3 linked regions of the Cricetulus griseus genome follow. The protein of the gene in region 1 interacts with the protein of each later gene in a biochemical or structural test. Links are inferred from orthologs where the notes say so. Each region holds a gene or a part of one and is shown in the gene's direction. Other genes may lie near its edges.

The links. The genes of interacting proteins can lie anywhere in the genome.
Region 2: the proteins of Stx4 (region 1) and Snap25 form a complex in vitro, tested with the Homo sapiens proteins (3 studies listed by BioGRID). The link is inferred for Cricetulus griseus from reciprocal best matches to the Homo sapiens genes STX4 and SNAP25.
Region 3: the proteins of Stx4 (region 1) and Snap23 form a complex in vitro, tested with the Homo sapiens proteins (4 studies listed by BioGRID). The link is inferred for Cricetulus griseus from reciprocal best matches to the Homo sapiens genes STX4 and SNAP23.

Annotation. Positions count from the first base shown.
Region 1 is NC_048596.1:72,931,090-72,938,879, reverse strand, and holds the start of Stx4 (syntaxin-4), read left to right. Parts: upstream 1-3,409; 5' UTR 3,410-3,540; coding exon 3,541-3,570; intron 3,571-3,731; coding exon 3,732-3,833; intron 3,834-3,889; exon of another isoform or gene 3,890-3,911; coding exon 3,912-4,011; intron 4,012-4,152; coding exon 4,153-4,227; intron 4,228-5,088; coding exon 5,089-5,159; intron 5,160-7,790. UniProt on the Homo sapiens protein: Plasma membrane t-SNARE that mediates docking of transport vesicles. Necessary for the translocation of SLC2A4 from intracellular vesicles to the plasma membrane.
Region 2 is NC_048599.1:41,903,579-41,911,103, reverse strand, and holds the start of Snap25 (synaptosomal-associated protein 25), read left to right. Parts: upstream 1-3,573; coding exon 3,574-3,645; intron 3,646-5,626; coding exon 5,627-5,668; intron 5,669-7,525.
Region 3 is NC_048599.1:57,909,834-57,917,384, reverse strand, and holds the start of Snap23 (synaptosomal-associated protein 23), read left to right. Parts: upstream 1-3,599; 5' UTR 3,600-3,686; intron 3,687-7,551. UniProt on the Homo sapiens protein: Essential component of the high affinity receptor for the general membrane fusion machinery and an important regulator of transport vesicle docking and fusion.

The DNA of each region.
Region 1 (7,790 bases):
CAACAAAACCAACACACTAAGGACAGACCCTAGAGCCGGTCTGGCTTCAAATCCTAAGGGCACTTACTAGATATGTAACCTTGGGTATATCAGTTCAAGTTTTCTGTTCTGGAAAAGAAAGACAGCGACAGTGCCTCTATCTCATAGAATTGTCATGTGGCTTGCAATGCTTTTCTTTTTCCTAGATTTTCTTGTAGCCCAAGCAGACCTCAAACTCATTATGTAATTTAGGATGATCTTGAACTTCTGATTCTCTTGGCTCCACTTCCTGAGTGCTGGGATTACAAATGGGTATCACTGTCCTGGTTTATGTGGGACTAGGGGAAAACCCAGGACTTCATGCTTGTTCTCTGTGCGCTGCCAGCTAAGCTACCACACACAGCCCTTGTTTTGTTTCTTCAGACGAGGTTTCATGTAACCTCCATTTGCCTCAAAGTTGGTAAGTAATTGAAGCTGGCCTTGAACTCCTCATCCTCCTGATGCTACTTCTCAAGTACTGGGATTATGGGCATGTGTTACCATGCCAAGCTCAATGAATTAAAATTATAAAATGTTTATATTGGTGCCTCACAGATATATTAAATGTTATACAAATATTAAATGCAAAAGAAAGAATTCCATTCATTCATGACTAGCTAGTTAGTATGTGCCAGGTACTGTTGTGGATACTGGGGACTCAGCAGTGAATAAGGCAGGTGAAAACTCCTGTCCTCTAAAGTTTATATTCTAGAGGTAAGCAAAATATAGGGCCTGAGAGGTGCTGGTGGAAACAGAAGAGATATACAGGATTGGCAAAACTGCTGCCTGAGCACCTGGTGCACAGTGGGGCTCGGAAGGAAGATCCTGGACAATCGGCAGAGTGGAATTTCTGGCACAGACTTTGGGCTACTGAAATCCTCAGTGGAACAGTCTCCACCATCATCACCATCTAGCAATAGCAAGCACACTCGACAGCCACAGTGGGCACCATTCTATTCTTGTTTCTTATTTAATACTTATCAAACACTAGGAGTTTAATGCTATTGCTCTCCTTTCCTTTTCAGATGGGAACTAAAGCAGAGAGGTTAAATGACTTGCCTCATAGAGCTGAATGAGCAGGAATCCCAGCCCAGGTCATCTGGTGCTGGGGTTGGGAGGATCAGACCTGAGGCAGTGAGGACAGGACAGGCTGCTAGCCTCAGGACCATGGACAGCTTGAGTTTCAGACAGAACGGAAGAAGTATATACTCTACTAATACTTACACACCCAAGACCCACTATATAAACCTGGGACTCAAGGCTACAAAGGGCCTAGGCGGAACACAGCATTCAGCGGAGGCAAACATCACTCCACTTGGGGGCTGTCAGCATCATGAGACCTTGACAGTCAGAAAATACTGAGGTCCCAGTGTCCTAAACCTTAAGTTATCATCTTAATACCTGTGATCACACCCAGAGACCACAAATGAAATAATAGTGAATATTATAAGCCTGAGATGCTTTAATAGAAGCACCAAAAACTCCACACTGCCGCTGGAGGCCAAGAGGCTGGGAAATGGGCAGGTATGATTGAAAGGCAGAGAGAGAGAGAGAGAGAGAGAGAGATAGAGAGAGAGAGAGAGAGAGAGAGAGGCAGAACTCACAAGCTCACAGCAGCAAAGCTCACATAAGAGCTTTAACAGTCTACAAGACCTACCACATCTTTCCTAACCTTTCTTGATGTCCTCCAATCCTTACCCTAAGCAAGGAAGAAACTGTCAGACCAAGATGTCAAGAGGGAAAATTGCATCTCTGAGGGAAACAGTGAGACATTCTCGATCACATACAGGGCTAGGAGACAGGCTAAGGTCACCTCCCGACTCGCCCCCCCTTGTAATACTAACAGAGAGTCAGAGGGAGGGGATGAGTAGGAGGGAAGTAGCAATTGAACAGGGAGGCAGCAGTTAATAGGCAAAGATACCCTTGCAGAATTCATGTTTTGGTTTGTTTTGGGGGGTTCCCCAGGGGCATGGACAAACTGAAGACTTCCATTTGGGGGCTGACAGCATCATGACACCTTGAAAGTCAGGCCCCACAGTAGGCACTTTTCTCCACATTATTTTCAGGGGACCACACTAGGCAGAGCTGGGCCTCCTGAGAAGCCCACCAACACCGCATCCCTCTGCGGGGTGGTCAGGGCCATATTATCCTCACCCCCTCATTTCCAAATCCAGGAGTTTCTAAAGGGAAAAGCATCACAGCCCCACAAGTGCATGGGGTTTTAGTCTGTTGGCTTCTGATGTGTCACCAGCCCCTAAAACATATCTGCTCTATAGTATGTGCCCAATAAATATGTCCAGAGAGACAAACCTGGGGAAATGGGACGGTGAGAGAAGCCACAGGCTTTAGTTTCAGATACATGAAAGGCTCCTATTCGGATCAAGGCTGTGAGGGCCTATTATGTAGCAAGCTCTGAATTTGGTGCTGGGGACTCCGTAAAAGAAAAGCAAGTCATGCTAGGACTTCAGGGCTGCGGAGGTAACAATACATTCCTCTCAGTCTGAGCTGCTCTGAAATCTGAAGGTGGCGAGCTCAGCGGGACTGCAGTGCTCACACAGGGCGTAGGCCGCCCACCTGTCAGAGGCTGTGCCAGGAGGACGCAGGGTGTGTAGGGGGAAGAGTTCCACCTTGGCTGAGGTCACTTCCCACCCCCAGATTGTCTGCCTACAAAACCCTGCAATCCTCTGACGCTGTAGCCTCCGATCTCATTATGTTCTGACTCTCAAGGTCTCGTGATACTGACAGCCCCCAAATTTAAGTCTTCAGATCGCCCACGCCCTAGGGCCCCAAATTAAAACAGAAAGTGAAGTCTACAAGGGTCTCCTCTGTAGGTGGCTGAGAGCTGTCGGTGTACCCCTCCCCACCTTCTGCAAGGGGTACAGCTCAGACTCAGGGGTATCGGGGACGTCGCGAGACTGAAGTCCGAGACGTCGCTGACAGCGCCGGGACACGTGACCGGCTGTCGGGCGTGCAGCCGGCGGAGCGGGGCCAGGTCTGTCACGTGATGAGGGGGCGCCATGGGGTGATGTGAGATACGAGGCTCTCAGACTGCGTGCAAATGACGCATCCCCAACCCTTTGGGCAACTAGATTCCAGTCCCAATATGAGATGTTCCGGTAGAAAGGGGGGGGGGGCGGACGGGCTCTCGATCCAGGCGGCCTCGCTTCCGTTCGGCCGCGACTGCTTCCGACCTCCGCCTTTTCCCCCTAGCGAGGAAGAGACAAGACCTCGTGCGCATGCTCCGAGTCATCCTCCCGAGGGGCGGGGCTGCGGCTGCGGGAGCAGGATGGGGGGAAGAGAAGGGAATTCCAACCTGTAGAACTTTGGGGGTCCTATGGTCGGGTTCTCCCCGGCGACTGTGCATGGTGAAAGGGGCGGGACCTCTGGGGGCTCGTGGGGGCGTTGGGGGTTCGCAGGGTGAGGAAGGGGGTGTCAAGTGAGAGAGAGCTCGTGCAGGACTTCCAAACTTAGAACCTTGAGGCCCTCGGGGCTCAGGTCCAGGGACCGGGCGCTCGGGCCGCCATGCGCGACAGGACCCATGAGCTGAGGCAGGTGAGGAGCTGGGGCCCGGCGGGCGCGCAGGACTGAGGACTCCTGGTTTGGGGTCCGGGAGGGGTGGCTGACGGCCAGGAAGGAAAATCCCGGAAGCCCATAGCTCCTGCGGGGCGAGAACCGCGGCGAGCGAGTGGTGCCAATGACTCCGGCCCTGGCAGGGGGACAACAGCTCGGACGACGAAGATGAGGCTCGAGTCGCGCTGGTGGTGCACCCAGGTACCGCCCGGCTGGGCAGCCCAGATGACGAGTTCTTCCAGAAGGTAAGGCCCGGAGGACCGAGCAGTAGGGAGGACTACAGTACCACTTATGTCTTCAGTTCCCTTGGTGATCCTCTCTAGGTCCAGGCAATTCGGCAAACTATGGCCAAACTGGAGAGTAAAGTCCGGGAGTTGGAGAAACAGCAGGTCACCATTCTGGCCACGCCCCTTCCCGAGGAGAGTAAGCGAAACCCGGGTTCACGTACGCCAGCCCGGTGGATTATGGGGGATGTAGTCCTATATAGATGTTGGCCGGGGGTGGGGTTGGTTTTGGTTTGTGGTGGAGGCTGTGGTTTGGAAGTGTTGGCCTTCTCTCATTTAGGCATGAAGCAGGGCCTGCAGAACCTGCGCGAGGAGATCAAACAGCTGGGGAGAGAGGTCCGGGCACAGCTAAAAGGTGAATGAACTTCAAGGGCCTCAGCCAGATCATCCCCAGTGATTCAGCCCTGATGCTCGTGTATCTGGGGAGTCAAGTGATATATCAGGTCACAGAGCAGGTCTGGGTCTAGGATCTCTGCCCTGTGGCATCTAAGCCTTGGTACTTTGCATATATTACATGCTGGCCTCTCAGATTCCTTTATTACTATTTTTACATCTAAATTCAAAACTACTTGCTGCTACAGTTCTTGAAGCCCAGTGTGTGTTCTTTGAGCAGATGGATGAGGGTTTCTTAGGAGGCTCCTTCACTCTTGTGGGAACCCACTGATGTAATACAAAGAAAAACTTCTCTTAGAAGATCAGAATTAGCCTCCTCCTCCCCCTCCCTCACCTCTTCCTCCTATGTAGACCAGGCTGGCCTCAAATTCACAGAGATCCATCTTTCCCTGCCTTTTGAATGCTGAGATTAAAGGCCTGCCGTAACCAGGTCCAGTTGGCTGATCTCACCCCCTTCTTCCTTCTTTCTTCTTCCTCCTAGTTCCTTCTTTTTTCCTCCTCCTCCCCCTTCCTCCTCCATCATGTGTCACTACTAAAATATATCCCTGCTCATAAGTCACTTTGTAAAAAAAAATCCTACGAAGACAAGAACTTCCTTATTATGTGGCTGGAATGTAGATGTGGCCCTGTATTCTGGTACCCAAACAATTTTTTTTGATTCATTTAAAATTTTTTATTATGTATTTTCAATTTTTTAATTATTTTTTGAGACTCAGTAGGTAGATCAGGCTAGCCCAGACAGAAATCAGTTAGCCTCCCAGCCAATTTTTAGAAGTCTCAGGGCAAGCTTTTCTTTCCATCAACCCTCGTATTTCTCCCACAGCCATAGAGCCTCAGAAGGAAGAAGCTGATGAGAATTATAACTCAGTCAACACAAGAATGAAAAAAACCCAGGTTGGTTTCATTTTCCTAGAACTAGGACATTTCATCAAGTGTTTCTTAGATTACTAACTGGTGACTGGGCAACCCTTACAGACCGTTGAATCTGGGATCTCTGTCCTGATGAATTTCCTTTATGCTTATTTGGTCTAGGTAGAGGATCCCAGTCACAAAATTCTCAATCCATTATAACACCATGCCACCGCCATTCAAAGAGAATTTGCTATGTCAGACATGACTCTGTCCTGGCTATGAGAGACATATTTTCCCAAAACTGAAATGGGGAATTTGGACTGAAAAGGGAACAAAGATATTTCTCATGTAGGACTTGGTCACTAATAGCTTTGTTCAGGGAAGAAGAGAGAGAAATAAAAAATGGTAATTAAGAGCACTGGTTGCTCTTCCAGAGGCCCCAGATTTAATTTCCAGCACCCACATGGCAGCTCACAACCATCTGTAACTCCAGTTCCAGGGGATCTAACACTCTCACATAGACATACATGTAGGTAAAACACCAATGCACATAAATCAAAGAATAATAATAAGAGCCAAGTGTGAAGGCAGAGGCAGGCGGATCTCTGAGTTCGAGGCCAGCCTGATCTACAGAGAAACCCTGTCTTGAATAACCAAAAATAAATAAATAAATGATAAATAAATGTAAGTTAAAATGACAAGCAAGGACATCCTTGGCCCCATAGATAGAATTTAAGAGATGGCGAGGGGCTGCAAGACGGATCAGTGGGTAAAGGTGTCTGCTTCTAAGCTTTATAACCCAATTCAGCCCCAGGTCCATGGGGTGCAGAGAACTGACTCCTGGGAGTTGTCCTCTGATTTCTACACATGTGCCATGGCACACATGCCCTGCCCCGTGCATACACAGTAAAGACATATATTAACGTATGATGTAGGGACTGGAGAGATGGCTTAGCACACACCACTTTTGCAGAGGAACTGAATTCAGCTGTTCCCAGCTGTGACCTATGTCAGGTGGCTCACAACCATCTGTAACTCCAGCTCTAGGAAGAGGCCCTCCACCTCCTTGGATACCACAGATGAAGGCACATAATAAAATATATTTTTAAGAACATTTGTAGCCGGGCGTTGGTGGCGCACGCCTTTAATCCCAGCACTCGGGAGGCATAGGCAGGCGGATCTCTGTGAGTTCCAGGCCAGCCTGGTCTCCAGAGTGAGTGCCAGGATAGGCTCCAAAGCTACACAGAGAAACCCTGTCTTGAAAAACAAAAACAAACAAACAAACAAAAAGAACATTTGTAAAAGGAAGAAGAGGAATTCTGGTGGAGAAGAAGTCATGCCAGGCAGTGTCTGAGTGAGGAGATTTCACGTGACTTGACTGGGCCCCTCTGGTGCATGGTGAAGAGTGCTTGGGATTTATGGAGGTCAGGTTTGGAGTAGGTAGGCATCTTGAAAGGGCGCAGGAGTGGGGATTCAGGAGAATAAGCTTATTTAAGGAATCAGGAGAGGGATGGGGGATAATGCACCATAAGAGTGGACCTGTGGTAGCTGTGGTATGAGAACATCTTGTTGTTCCATGCCAGTAGCGTGGTGCCATTGCAGTCCATGAGTGTACCTGCAGTCTAAACAGCAATGCTGCTCTTCAGAAGCTTTCAGCAGATGCACACTGAGTACCAGTGTGCCAGACTTTTAAACTAAAAATTCTACCGTTAAGATGTTTACATTCTAGTGAGGCAAGACAGTCACCAAATAAGTGTTTTACTTTTTGTTTATTTGAGTCAAGATCTCACTGCGCTGGAACTCACTATGCTGAGGTATCCTTGATTCTGCCTTCCAGTGCTGTAATTAAAGGAGTTGGCCACCCCACCAGGCTTACAAAACAGCATAAAAAGAGGGAAAGTGCTGGCCCGGGGAAGGAGTGTAATTTAAATGAGGGGAAGAGTAGAGCTGAGTGGTAGAGTTTGTGCTTAGCACGCATGAAGCCCTGGTGTCAATCACTAATACTCAGAAAGTATGTGTTTGTTTCTGTGAGTGTGAGTGTGTGTGTGTGTGTGTGTGTGTGTGTGTGTGTGTGCGTGTGTGCACATGCACACCACGGTACTCATGTTGAGGTCTAAGGAATAGGCTTTCCTCCTCCTAGGTGGGGTCTGTCTGCGTCTGCTGCTGCACTAGGAGTCTCTTACCTCTGCCTCCCATCTCACTTGAGGCATGCTGGGATTACAGTGGCACACCACCGCATCTGGCTTTTTACCTGGGTCTGGGATCATTGAAAGTCGGTTGTCATGCTTTCGCAACTAGCATTTTTACAGGCTCAGCCATCTCCCTAGTCCCACCCACCCCCAAATAAATTTAAACAATAAGTAAGGGCTGGGGGTGTCAATCAGTTATTATAGTGCTTGGCTAGCATACACAGGGCCCCAGGTTAGATTTCCACTACTACGTAATGCAGCTCCCTATTGCTGCACACCTATAATAATAGTAGGCCAGCCTGGGCTACATGGGACCCAGTCTCAAACCAAAGAATAGTAGTAATGATTAATAAGATGAAAATCAAAAACTCATAAATAGGTGAAGCCAGACATGGTGCACACCTGTAATCCAGCGTTCAGAAGGTAGACACAGAGGCTCAAGGAGTTCAAGGTCGCCATCAATGAGCTTAAGACCAGCCTGAGC
Region 2 (7,525 bases), on another chromosome or scaffold:
GCATGGGCTTGGGATTGGTAGGGACAATTTATCAAATAGTAGTGACAAACATCCCAGCAAGTGGCCTGTTGTCTGGCTGTTCTCATGGTTCTCATCAGGAGGGCTGTCATTGCTTTCTCTGCTTTAAAATGCTGTGTGTCTGAGATCTGTCACTCACCATCCATCCATCCAAGACACCGATAAGCATGCATTTGAGAGTGAGACAAAAGTATGGGGACTCCTGGTGAGGGGTGGGAGTGGGGAAAGCGTGAAAGCAAGGAATACAAGAACATCTACCACATGGCTTCTCTACCAGCCTGCCACCTGCCCATCAACTAGCCCCTGGCAGGTTGCTGGCAGCCTGGAGCCAGGAGCATACAGCTGTTCTTCTCCTGCTAAGAATAGCAAATTTGAAAGATCACCAAGGAAACACAGAGAGAGAGAGAGAGAGAGAGAGAGAGAGAGAGAGAGAGAGAGAGAGAGAGAGAGAGAGAGAGCTCGTCCACGACTAAGCCCAGAAGAGTGGGAAATGGCAGTTTACTATAGGGTTGAAAGCACATGAACCCTGCTTTCTAATACAGTGACCAACTAAGAGTAAAAGCCGGTAATAGCTCATTGAAGGAGAAGATGACACAAGAAAGAACAAACATCACATTACAAAGACAGCCAAGGTCAGGTGTGTCCTTGCTTGTTCTCTGGTGGCAGTCCTTGGAGAGTTGCTGCTTGGAGACCAGCACCTCCACACTCTGCTGGTTTCCCTGGTTTCCGCTTCCAGCAGTGCTCAGCTAGCTCCTCAGCAGCATGTCTGATGCCAGCCATTACTAAAGGAAGGAGAGGTACCAGAGCCTAGATTTGTTCTATTCTTAACAGAGGATATGAGGCTACTCTTAACAAAGGGTATGAGGATATTTTACACAAACAGACTGTCTGTATATTAAGGCCTGGCATCCTTAGCAAACAAAGAATTTTCTATAATTGACACACCTATGATGTAAAAGCTCAGAAATGAACTTTAAGCAATAAAGCTCGGGGAAGGTGATGATCTTGCCCACAGCCACTCAGGTCCTAGTTCATACTAGCATTCTTCCTGTTTAGGGTCCCTCCATTAGAAGACTTTCTTTATAAGGCTGGCTAATGCAGGGTGCTAATAATATGTACCACTTCTGCATCCCAGAGGAATTCCATCTTAGCAGCTAAGAAAGTGGTATGACTGTGTCATACACATCCAGTCACATCACTCATGTTGTTAACTATGGAATCATGAGTGTCTCTGGCCAGCAGCCAGCTTTCCTCTCTTCGAGGATTCAAATGACCCAAGTTCCTGCTATCCTGTGGCTCAATCATCCTCTGTTGCCCTGATTTTGCTGACAGGAAAACCATGTGAGTTCAATATCAACTTCTGAATGTCCTCTATTTGACTGGAACACACACCATCTCCATTTAGGTGCCATCTCTAGCTATGTAGCCATCTCCTCAAAAATACTAGAAATGTAATTCTAGCTATACAACCATTCTTCAAAGACCATGTTCTTTGAAAACCAAGAAGAAAGATGCTTGACCATCTCAAATGCAAGTCACAAACCCAGGCCTTCATCACGTATGCTGTCCAAAAAATGTTGGCATAGCCTCAAAGACATCTAAGACTCTTCCTCAGGTCCTTTTGGGGACATTACTCCCTTAGAGGGGCTAACTATGTCCTCATAGGCATGATGCCTGACTCCTGTGCTAAGAATTAAGAATTCCTTCATTTTCTTCTTCCTAATTAGATGTAGTTCTGTGAAGGTGGTGAATTCACCTTTCTTGTTCATCATTGTCTCCCTGACACAATGATGTCAGGTGTGCTCAGTGAGTCCTTGAGAATGAAGAAGGATGGGAAGTAAAGAGAGAAGTGTGGCCAGGCGGTGGTGGCGCCTTTAATCCCAGCACTTGGGAGGCAGAGACAGGTGGATCTCTGTGAGTTTGAGACCAGCCTGGTCTACAAGAGCTAGTTCCAGGCAGCCTCCAAAGCCACAGAGAAACCCTGTCTCGAAAAATCAAAAGAGAGAGAGAGAGAGAGAGAGAGAGAGAGAGAGAGAGAGAGAGAGAGAGAGAGAGAGAGAAGTGTGTTCTGGAAGAATCAGGATCCTCCTATGTGTATGTGTTTCAGAGTGGGCTGGTCACATTTCAAGGCCCTGGGCTCATTCCACTTTGGAATAACAGTTGTTTACCTGCACACAATCTTGACAACCTCTAATAACAATGCTGAATGCTTCTAAATACAATGGGATGTTACACACAAACAAATAGGAATGGTCTAGCAATTGTGCTATCATATGGGAAAATTTCAATATAATACCAAGTGGAAAAGCCAAGTGTTTCATTTATACATAATCCTAAGACATACCAACTATAGTGACAAAAGGGAGGTCAACAGCTTCCTCGACATAGGAGGATGTAGAGAATAGCAGGTAGAATAACAAAGAGTATACAGAAATTTGGTGGGGGATTAATGGACTGGCTCATTTTCTTTTTCAGAGCAGTGGGTTACTGAGTGTTTTACAACTGTATGATTTAGATATGTGCGCTGTATTTAAATGTGTATGTTTTTAAATATGTCAACTGTTTCTCAATAAAACTGTTAAATATAACTAAATAAATATAACATTAAAAAATATAAGAACAATGGCCTGCATTGTTCACCACATCATTCCCAAGCTTTGTATGGTTTGCGTCTTTAAAAAAATACTCTAGATGAAGCCATTTATGTTCCTGTGAACCTGCTGTGGTGATATGTTATTTATGATTTATTAAAGCTTGCCTGAGGAGTCAGAAAGCAAAGTCAGCCACAAGCCATAGAAGCCAGGCACACTTCTTTAATCCCAGAAGCCAGAAGCTAGGAAGTGGAGGTACATACCTTTAGTCATAGGACTAAGATTAAGAGGTAAACAGATCTCTGTGAGTCCAAGACGACCCAGATCTACACAAGAAGTATCCAGTCCTAAAGAGAGAAACAGCTCACATAAAGATGATCCCAGCACCTGGGATCACACACCTTTAATCCCAGCATTAGGAAGGTATATAAGACAGGAACTAGGTCTCAGTGTCAGGTATTCATTCTCCAGCCACATTGAGAATAGGAATGCCTCAGCCTTGTTAGAGGTAAGAGCACTTTGGTAGCTTGACTGCTTTGCTTCCCTGATCTTCAGGTTGAACCCCAATATCTGTCTCTGGGTCCATTTATTTTTCATGTTACAACCTGTAATTGAAACACTCAGAAGCTGAAGCAGAAAGATGGTGAGCTCAAGGCCAACCTGGACAACAATGCCAAGCTATCATAAAACATACCAATATGTGACTGTTTTAGTGATGGGGTTGATAAAACACTCATTCCCAGTACTTTTTGGAGAAATGACACAATTCTATTGATTCTTATCTGCGCTTGGCTTCCAGTTCAGAAGTTATCTAAACCCTGGTGACAGTGTGACACTTAGACTTTCCAGTATGCAGTCATTCATATTAGCTCTCATATTCTCCAATATGCTTCTACTCAGGTTCTGTAGCCAAATCCATTGCTGACTTGCTGGTCCAGGTGCCCAGCAACCCCCTACCATTACCATGGCCGAAGACGCAGATATGCGCAATGAGCTGGAAGAGATGCAGAGGAGGGCTGACCAGCTGGCTGATGAGGTAAGGCATAGAGAGGCAGGGGGCAAGCCCAACACTGGAAGGTGGGTGGTTTCAATTCAGATTTTGAGAAAAGAATTCTTCAATGTCTAATTTTTTTTTTAAGGTGAAAAAAGAACTTCCTTTTTCTCTAAGATTCCTGCAGGCTAGACAGGATTGATTATAAGGCGCAAATACAAATTAACATCTCAGCCCTGAGGCAGGACTCCTAGACACTTGGGAGGGCAGGGTCCTCTAGGAAAAACTTTATCTTTAGATACCTAACAGTATGCCATGGTTACCTCAGTAATGAAGGTTACTAAGTGTGGCTATTACTAAAATTGAAGTACATAATTTGAAAATAAATATATATAATTAAAGCAATGGTATTATGAGCTCAAAAGTCATTACTTGTAGCTAGTTTAGCACATTTTTTCTGCTATCTATGCCCTTGAGTCATTTACACTCACTGTATGTAAGAAATGGAAACTGCAGAGTCAGTTTACCACACTGCACTCAGAAACCAAATCAAAAGCAATTATTGAGAACCAGTCATTGGCAAACAATATCAGTTGTGCTTGCTTTATTGTTTGTTGATTACCTATAGTTAAGACAGAAGGGAAAATATTAATAATCTAGATAAAACTTTTTAATTATGTATGTCTGTAGCTATTACATTAAGAAAATAATATACAGAGTTGGGTGGGGAGGGAGGGTTGGATCAGGGAGGAGCTAGGGGTAAGAGTGGAAGAGGTGAATATGATCAAAATTCATTGTAAGGCATTCTCAAACAGTAAAAATGTTTTTGAAATATAAGAAATTTTGAGGAAGTCCTCCATTATTTGGAAACTTATTTTTCAACAAAAACATCACCTTCTTTACTAATGAGACTAATTCTAACATTAAGTCGTCACTGCTTCAGGTTCTTCTTATTCATGAACATGAGTGAAGTTATCCAGTTGCAGTGACCATGTTAGAATTATACTAGTTCATCATATGAGGAGTCATAGATAGACAACACACACACACACACACACACAAAAAAAAAAAAAACTGACAGGAGTTTTGGGTGAGAATCAACCTGCTACACAGAACTGCTAACCAAGGATGCTGTGTTGCATCATGTGTCAACTCTGTGCTCTCTGTGTTTCACAGCCTTACAATAGATGCAAAGATACATAAATGTATTTATATTTTTTCCCAGAGTCAGAGCATTTTGCCAACACATCACTGATAATAGCTATTTTATTACAAAAGGGAGTCCACTTTAAGTCCATTGCAGCAAAAATTCACATCCTTCAGGCTCCTGCAGAAACTTGTCCAACATAAATTTGCTATTTGAAAGCATGGTTTTGAGAAATCACACTGGTTGTTGCAGTGGAGCTATGTTAAAGGAACTGAGAACAAAGTGGTGATGCTGTGCCTGAGGGACCAGCTGCCAAGCTCAAAGCTTTCTTCATGCTTTTTTTCTTATCTAAAAATGAAGGTAATTACAGCTGTCTCCTATGGGATAGTTATTGCAAACTTGCTTGATTTTTTTTCACCCTAAGGCGACAGCTTAATTTGTATTGATAACAACTTCCAGTTGTGTTTCAAGGAGTTTTAAAGGAAACTCGTTAAACTCATCTCTCCTCATGAAAACTTATGTTTGTGTTTAAAATTCAATATCCCTAGTTCAGGGAGGCCAAAGTAGTCCTTGAAGTATATGAGATAGTTTTCCAGGCATCCAGAGCATACAAAATGATTTGTCCAGATTGCTTTGCCTTTGATATCAAGATCAGCCTCATATGGTTTTGGTTTTATAAAGATAAGCTTTCATATGATTGCTCTGGGAAATCTGATCATGTAGAAAGAGATTGAAACTGGGAAGACATTTGGTGTTTCTGTTGCAAAGTGTAAGTCATGTGTGATAGGGACCTTTGTGTTTCTCATGTGAAGAAAGCATTTCTGACTTGCCTAGTGCTCTGTTAGTGCCTTTAACAGTGTTTATGTTTTTCCATCTTAGTCCCTGGAAAGCACCCGTCGCATGCTGCAGCTGGTTGAAGAGGTAAGGAGTGGATTCTATTAACATAAACTAGGTCCCTATGTTGACATGTTCATTCCTAGCTCCTATTGTTTTTCCCTAAACCATGGCTCCCTGGCTTCCAATATGAACATAGCGTATCAGAAAATACTGGAGATTTTGGCATGAGTTGTTAGCTAGTTATCAAGGTGACCTCACCACCCTCCAGCCTAGGCTACCTCTGCAGTGCATAGTACAGAGAAACCTACTATTTCTAAGCTCCTGTTCCCAACAGTCACAAAAGTGGGTCCCAGTAAGCAAAGTGGTGCTTAATCTATGAAGGAATTACCTACATAAAAGTCTTCATTTGTAATGATTTTGTTGCAATATATTACAGCTAATCTAAAATTCTTTTCTGACTCCAACTATATTTATAACTTTGAAAAATATGTATTTATGCAAGCATATCATCTTTTGAAATTGTTGTATTTAGTGTCCAGCACGAAAATCTAAGAAAAAATAGCAAAAATCTTAAACAAAGAGAAAAATCTAGTCCAATTAAGTAAATATAAAAGTTCTTTTATGTGACTGACTCTGAATTGCACATCCATTTCTAAAGCATTTGTAATTCATGGTTTAATGAATCCCAAACCATTTTTAAATGGATAAAATAGGGCAGATAGCAATAATGGAATCAAAAAAGCATTTGCAATAAAACCTACTCATTCCAATTTGGTAGAACAGCAGTCAACCAGGAAGAATAAATGGATTAATTGAACTTGCCCATTGGGAGAGATGGAGTTGAAAAAGAATGGGCTGGACTGTATTTATCTTAACCTAATAAAACAAGCCTAATGGTTTTTATTCAGCAAGATGCTGCTTTAGCCACAGTTTCAATGTGACTGCTTATCAATGTATAAATTCATGTGTGATTATCTTTTCTAGAGATCTTGGGCTTTCTCTGGCAGAATGATTAAATGAGCCTATTCACCCACCCTATGCTACTATAAATTGCTTATGCAATGACATGAAAGGGAAAGAAAAAAAGAGATGAATTTTACAAAGACTTAGAGAAAAGCCAGCTGCCTCTTACAGCATTGGAGCAAATGCTGTTTTCCTTTATTCCTGAAGCTGCAGCTCCTCACCTAGGGGTGAAGTGTGGCTAAAGGTGAATGACCACAGGAAGAGTGGGAAGAAGTAATGATTCCTTCACTGAAAAAAAAAGTCTGTTATTTCAAAAATAACAAACTGAGCTTGCATTGCAGCACAAATGGGCCTCCACAGAGAGGCAGGCCTACAGGGCCTCAGCAGCATAGCCAAGCAGCCTTCTACTCTAAATGAAGGGAAGTGTCTGATTTTCTCTGGTCTAGGGACACTACTCATATGGAAATGCTTAAATACCAAGAAGGAGGCAAATAGCCCAATCCAGGAGTGCTGGCCATTTGGCATTAATGTGTTATTTTCCAATGTGTTGCAAGCAAAACACAAAAAAGAGCAAGAGCTTGGAACATTTTTACATGAGCTGAGATTAACATGAAGGGAGCTCACTATTTAATGGCTATAATTATTTTATTGTATGCTACATTATTATCACAACATAGTTCATGACCTACAACCAGAGAACTCACTTTTCACTTTCTTATGTAAATACATGTATATATGATTGCGTTCCTCTAGCTCTTTCCAACTTGCTCAGTTGTGCGCTGTTGAAACTTTGCTCAGACTATGGAACACAGTGGAATAAATGCATTGGAATGCACCCCTTTAAACTAGCCCTTTGTCCTTCAAAATCTTGCGAACATGAACCCTTCTCTCTTGCATGTCTTCTCAAAATGAAAGTAGTGTCAGCCTGTCTTGCAAAAAATCTGTTTGCTCTAATTTATTCTAAGAATAAAAGCTCCA
Region 3 (7,551 bases), on another chromosome or scaffold:
ATAGTTCAGTGATAGAGTGCTTATCTTAAATGTATTCTTCTTATTGCTTCAAGACCTAAAACACCCTTGCTCCCCCCCCCCCATTTCTGTCTGTTTGGTTTGGTTTTTTGAGACAGGGTTTGTCTGTGTGTTGCCTTGGCTGTCCTGGGAACTTGCTCTATAATCCAGGCTGGCTATGAACTCAGGAGATCTGCCTGCCTCTGCCTTCTGAGTAATGGAATTAAAGGTGTGTACCATCACCGCCCAGCAACACAAAGGTTTTTATTTTGTTTGTTTTTTGAGATAGGGTTTCTCAGTTGCTTTGGAGCCTGTCCTGGAACTCACAGAGATCCACTTGCCTCTGCCACCTGAGTGCTGGGATGAAAGGCGTGTGTCACCACCTCCTGTCCACAAATGTTTTTAAAACAAAAAATAGACAAGCCAGGTATGGTGGTGCTCACTTGTAATTTCAGCACTTGGGAAGTACATAAAGATTGGAAAATCAAAAGCGGTGGTGGCGCACAGCCTTTCATCCCAGCACTCAGGAGGCAGAGGCAGGCGGATCTCTGTGAGTTTGAAGTCAGTCTGGTCTACAAAGGTACAAAGAGAAACCCTGGGGGAGGGGGGCGGGATGGACGGTGATCAAGACTGCCTCATTACACATGAGAGGCCAGCCTCAGCTTCATGAAACCCTACCTCAAAGAAAAAAACAAAAATCAGTAAGAACACACACACACACAAAAACCTGAGTATTGAGTAGTATGGATAGGGATAAAATACAGAACTGGGAATACAGTCCACTCACTGGTAGCATACTTGCCTAGCAAGGCGAGGCCCTACTACATTCAGTTCCCAACACTACAAACCAAATAACTAAAAACAGCATAGCAAATTTTAGTAACACATTAAAATCCAAGTGACAGGGCTGGAGAGGCTAAGAGCAATGCTGGCTGGCCTTGCAAAAGACCTAAGATCTGTTCCCAGTACCCACATGGTAGCTCAGTCATCTGTAACCCTAGTTTCAGGGGATCTGAAATCCTCTTCTGGCCTCGGGTTCAGGGAACATGTTGCATACATATACACATACACAGGCAAAACCCTCATAAATAAAACAATCTTTAAAATCCAAGTGAAAGCTGAGCTTAGCAGTTCAGAGCAGCACTCTTCCAAAAGACCTGGGTTTGATTCCCAGCTCCCATATGGTTGGCTCAAAACAATGTGTTAACTCCAGTTCCAGGGGATCTGATGCCCTCTTCTGGCCTCTGCAGGCACTGTGCACAAATGTAGTACACAGGCATACATACAGGCTAAACACCCATACACAGAAAATAAAATTTTAAAAATTAAAAACAATAATCTGAGTTTTTATTTTTTCTGGTTGCTTACAACTTAAACTCTGGAACCACTGAACAATAAATTCTCACTTCTACTTTCCATCCTGAGAGACATTCTACAGTTTCAGTTGATTCTGACTACTTTCCACACTCTATGTCCTTATATGCAAAGCATACATGCATGTATGTATATACATGTACATATACTTAAAATCGTCACTATTGCATACCTTCTTGACACCGTTACTTTCACTTAAGAGTATCGTGGAAATCATTCAATATCAGCACAGAGAGTTGGTTCATTCTAACAAATGCACAAACGTAACAAGTCCTCCAATATACACATGGAAACTATTTTTCCACGTCTCTTTCAGATTACAACAGCAACAGACTGCAAATTTTTAGTGTAACTGTTTAGGGTTCTCACTCATTGGACACACAAATACTAAACTTCCCCTTTGGTAACCCAATTATAAAACACAGTCTGTACAGTTCTCACCAAGTCATCCTGGAACGCAGAACCACTCAATGCTCCTTGCTTTTCTTATAGACTAGCCTTGAATTTGTTCTCATCTGGATATATAAGAGCTATCAACGTTTTTCTTTTTAAAATACCTTCCTTTCTATCAAAGCAATTTGTTTCTGAACTAGCTTGATGAAATCGATTCACACCTTTCCTCTGTTTTGAAGCTCTCTTCAAAATCTATCTGGACACTTTCTCTAGTTAAAAGCTAAGATGAGCATATACTTGTAATCCCAGCCCTCTGTGACTGAACTCAGGATCTCAAATTCAAGGCTAGTCTGGACTATATAGGCCAGATTCTAACTAAAAAATAAAAAACAAAACAAAATCTGTTTTCTAGGCTCAATAGTTAACTTCAGTTCACTTTCCAAACAGGAGTACTTAGAACATCTAACTTGGTGTAACAGAAAAAGATGAACTTTGTTATCACCTGAGAGGAAGTTTAGTAGTCCACTAACGGTAAATCAGCATCAGCATCTCAGCAAACTGAAAAGTACTGCCAAAAAATCATCTATTATAATATTGCATTAAATTTCTGTGACACACCTGAATGTAGAGTTCTAGCATAATAGATGCTAAGTAAACCCTAGTTGAATCTGATTATCTACTCTACTCTTTCATTCTTGGCCAAACTTGAGAACAGAGAATTACATTTTTAAGATTCTCCATTGGAAGCCAGGCCTTTAATCCCAGCACTCGGGAGGCAGCGTTGGGGATCTTTATGAGTTCGAGGCCAGCCTGGAAGACTGAGCAAGTTCCAAGACAGCCCCCAAAGCTACAGAGAAACCCTGTCTGGGGGGGTGGGGGTGATTCCCCCATGGGGTTTTAGAACCGGATTTGGATCTTATATTCAATATTAAAAGGTATCTTGTCTTGAATTACCTCAATATAAACCATCATGATGGCTATAGCTCTAATCTGCTAAGAGAACTTCCTTAACTGGTTCTAATTTGTTAAAAAACAAAGAACGAAAACAAGACCGAAATCTCGGAACTTCACCAACAAGATGGCTCATTTTACTCTCAAAGATGACTACACTGAACAGATTGAAGTGGGAGGCGATGCAAGCATCTCTTCGTAACTACGCACCGAGATTTACTAAATATTAAATAGATACATAGCGTTCCATTAGTTGCTAGTACATTAATAAGCAGAGACCTCAAAAGCAGGGGGGAAAAAAAAAAAAAAAAAGAGGCTAGACTGTCAGTCTGGTGAGGCGGGAGGGTCCTGGCCTGAAACCCGCAGCCTTTAAATACCAGACTAAGGCTGAGAGTCCTCCTAGACCCCAGGCCCAGAGGTCAGGGCCCGTCCCAGAGGTCAAAGATCTGGAGCCACGCGTCCAGACTGAGGGGCTGCGAGCAGAATCCCCTGAGAGAGTCTGTGTACCCTGAAGCCAGGTGCACCGCTCGCCCATAAACTCTAAAACCACGCGGGCCAGAAGAGGTACGGTGGCATTGCTTGAGTGCAGGCGCAGCTCCCACCACCTCCCACCATCCGACCCTCGGCCTCCCATACGCCCCACCAGGCCGGGCCCTCCATACTCACACTCACTGCCCGTCCTTCCTACGCCATCAGGCCGCCGAGGGCCCGGCGAGGGAGCTCCCAGATGCCCCCTTAGCCTCCGGTCCGGCGGCGGCCTGGGACCCGCTCCCCGCCGGGCACTGACGCCGCCGCCGCCGCCGCGCCGCCGCGCCGCCGCCGCCGCCGCCAGCGCGCAAGCGCACGTAGTCCGGCGCGCTCCCTCTCCCCCCACCCCATCCGCCCCTTTCAACCATCTAGCTTTATTTGAACATAAGAAGTGAACAACGGACACTGGGCAAGAGGTCTTCAAAACGCCAAGAACAACCGAAGTAGGTCCCTTTGCGTAAAGCTGTCCGCTTCACTTCCCATTTCGCCCTTCTACTTTCCAAACCCTCCGCCTGTCTTACCTAAATTTCAAAACTTTTCCTTCTTCGTGAAACTTTTGAACAGATAGACCTAGACCCCAAGTTAGACACGGTAGCTCACCCCACATTCTGGAGGTTGAGAGAGGAGGGTCAACGCGAGTTCAAAGCTAGCCAGGGCTACATAGTTTCTGGGCTACGAAGCGAAACTCTGTCTCAATAAAAACAAAACTAAATGTAAATCTTTTTTTTTCTTTTTCGAGACAGGGTTTCTCTGTGTAGCTTTGGAGCCTAAATGTAAATCTTACCCTAGCATTTATTTATTTTCGTTTTGTTTTTTGAGACAAGGTTTCTCTGTATATCCCTGCTGCCTTCGAATTTGCTCTATGTAATCAAGCCTGGCCTAAAACTCAGAAATCTGTCCCCTAATACGAGGGGTGGATTTGCTGGGATTACAGGTGTTCGCCTCTACTGTCCAACAATAATTCTTGACTTTTTTTAAGATTTATTTATTATGCATACAGTGTTCTATCTGCCTGCGCGACAGAAGAGGGCACCTGATTTCATTACAGATGGTTGTGAGCCACCATGTGGTTGCTGGGAATTGAACTCAGGACCTCTGGAAGAGCAGCCAGTGCTCTTAACCTCTGAGCCATCTCTCCACCAGTCCCTAATTCTTGACTTTAAATGATGTTTTCTTTCTTCCTTCCTTCCTTTTTTTTTTTTTTTTTTTTTTTTTTTTTTTTTTTTTGGTTTTTCGAGACAGGGTTTCTCTGTGGCGTTGGAGGCTGTCCTGGAACTAGCTCTTGTAGACCAGGCTGGTCTCAACCTCACAGAGATCCACCTGCCTCTGCCTCCCCAGTGCTGGAATTAAAGGTGTGCTCCACCAATGCCCGGCAATTGATGTTTTCTTGGAATGTCAGTTTTTAGAGTTAAAATTAGGATGTTTTGTAGCACTGTAAATAAATGACTGATACTAGGGTTCAGGCTTCAAGCTGAAGATCAGAAAAGTAAATCAGCCGGTCACTAGCTTTTACCTCTACCTCAGCTCAAACCAAAGGGGCAATCCTCAAACTGCTCTCAACTTCACTACTCCTCAGATTCATTCAGACTGCTATGCTGTCCTCAACGTGGCTAGAGACTAATACTTTAGACCCTGCTTCTATCTTTTATACCTCTCTAGTGCTGGGATTAAAGACGTAAATTCTGTTACTCTTAGATTGATTCAATCTTGTGTAGTTCTGGGTGGTCTTGAACTCAGAGAGATCTATCAGCCTTTGTGTCCTGAGTCTTGGAATTAAAGGTATGTACCACCACTGCCTGATCTCTGTAGCTTGAGGCTGACTTTGCTTTCTGATTCCTCAGGCAAGCTTGAATAAATCATAAATAATATATCACCACAATGTTTAATTTATTATTAAAATTTGAGCATCCCTATTCTTTTGGGATCCTGTTATAGTGATTATAATAAACAGTTACACTGCAGTTGATAATGAGCAGTGCAACTTCTATATGATTGAAACCATTTCCATTTAAGAAAACTATCAGAGCCACACGTGGTGGTGCTCACCTTTAATCCCAGCAGAGGCAGGCAGATCTCTGTGAATTTTAAGGCCAGCCTGGTGAGTTCCAGGACAGCCAAGGCTACACAGAGAAACCCTGTCTGGAAAAACCATATCCCCCAAAAAGAAAGGAAGGAAGGAAGAAAGAAAGAAAGGAAGGAAGGAAGGAACTATCAAAGCCTCAAATCAAAATAAACAGCTACCTTCATTTATGTGTGAATCCAGATTCATTCTAAAGGTTTATGAGAGTCTTCCAATTGTGTATTTGTGACATCACAAGTCCTTGAAGCATTCAAGGTCTGATGTACTGCTCATTCTATTTAAAGGCATGCATGATACAGAACTGCTTTGCTCTGTAAATTCAGAGCCATAGTCCAAGGGAAAGCCAATATAGGTGAGGATCAAAGTAACTCTAGATCAAGATTTCACAACTTTAAAACATCAACATTATCAGTTGCTGACTAGTGCATTCTAAGATAATGCTCCCCCAACTCTCCAGACCCTGCCCAATGTCCCCTGGAGGGCAAAAATTACCCTTTTCTGAGAACTACAGTATTATATCCATGACCATCCCAACCCTAAATGAATTCAGCCATATATTTTCTTCATCCCTGCCCTTAACAAGTGATTTGAGACAGATGAGCAAAACAGAAACTGCTGAGTTCATTTCTACAGGGAGTAAACAAGCAGTTTATAGTGCTTATCTGTCCTCTTCTCTGATCAGTTTTGGTTATCACATTCTATAGCCATACCTCCAAGCTTCTCAATTCCCTTATACTTGCAGCCAACTTTCTAATCAGCAGAGGATCTATCTCTGACTTCTCAGAAAACTTAACGTTTCTAAACCTACAGGCTTATCAATACATTTCGTCATTATAATTGAGAATATTTCTCCCTCCCCAACTCTGTGGGTTGGTCTCTTTTCCATGAATGTTCTTTTCATGTCAGTGTCTAGGGTTATTTATTTTTACATCTATTGTGTGTGTGTGTGTGTGTGTGTGTGTGTGTGTGTGTGTGTGTGTGTGTGTGTGTAGAACCATTCTTGCCATCTGGTACATACACATCTATAGAGAAGTCAGAGGACATGCAACCTGTGGGCTCCAGGAATGGAAATCAAGTGTTCACACTTGATGGCCACTGCCTTTGCCTGATGAACCATCTTGCCAGCCTCAGTCCTCTGGGCTTTATTGTTTGTTTGTTTGAGACAGAGTCTCAGGTAGCTAATGTTATCCTCAAAATTATTTTATAGTCTGTGATGACTATGTACCAGTCTCATGACGCTGAGATTATAGGCTTATGCCACTATCCTAGATCTCCTATCAGTTTGATTTTTTAAAAATTTATTTTTATTTTACATGTATGGGTATTTAGCCAGCATGAATATCTGTGTACCATCTTTGTGGTGTTTGTGGAGGCTACAGGAGGGTGTGGATCTCCTGGAACTGGAATTACAGTTGTGAACTGCTAGGTGGGTGTTGGAAACTGAATTTATGTCCTTTGGAAGAACAGCTATCTCTCCAGCCCATGATTTTATTTTATTTATTGATTTTTGAGACAAGGTATTGCTATGTAGTTCTGGCTGACCTGGAACTATGTAGACCAGGCTGGCCTCAAACTCACAAAGATCCCATTGCTTCTGCCTCCTGAGAACTGAAATCAAAGGTGAGTATCACCAACTCCCATCAGTGGTTTGAGCAATTCAGTTCTAACCCTCTCAAAATCTTTATCTAGATTATCACATACAGCCTTTTGTAAATTCAATTGTTTTTCTCAGTTGAGTCTTTTCTCCCGTGCTCAACTTTTCCTGTCTTAATTCTAACAAATTAAAAACAAATGAGACACATCATTCTTCCCTTTTCTCTGACAAGGTCAAAGTTTTCAAAAGCATTTTATAACCTGTCCTGATTTCTCTCCCTTCTCCAAACTATTGCTGTGTTTGTCAACTATCACCATTCCCCTGTGTTATTAAATTCAAAAGCGCTTATCAGTCCTCTTCTCTGGTCAGTTTTGTTTATCACATTCTACAGCCATACCTCCAAACTTTTTTATTCCCAAGAGTGCCAGCATTTTGCTTTACTCTTAGAGGTGACTGGAAGAATTCTTGGGTCAAGTGGTTTAAAAACCTTTCAGTAACTCAATGGCTATAAAATGAATTCTAGGCTCATTATTCCAAAATTTACAAGACCTCTGGCCCTCTCTCTAGCTTGATTTCGAGCTCTGCTGGCTATGGACTCAGGGCTAAGCTTCACCTGTGCTATTTAAGTGCTCTA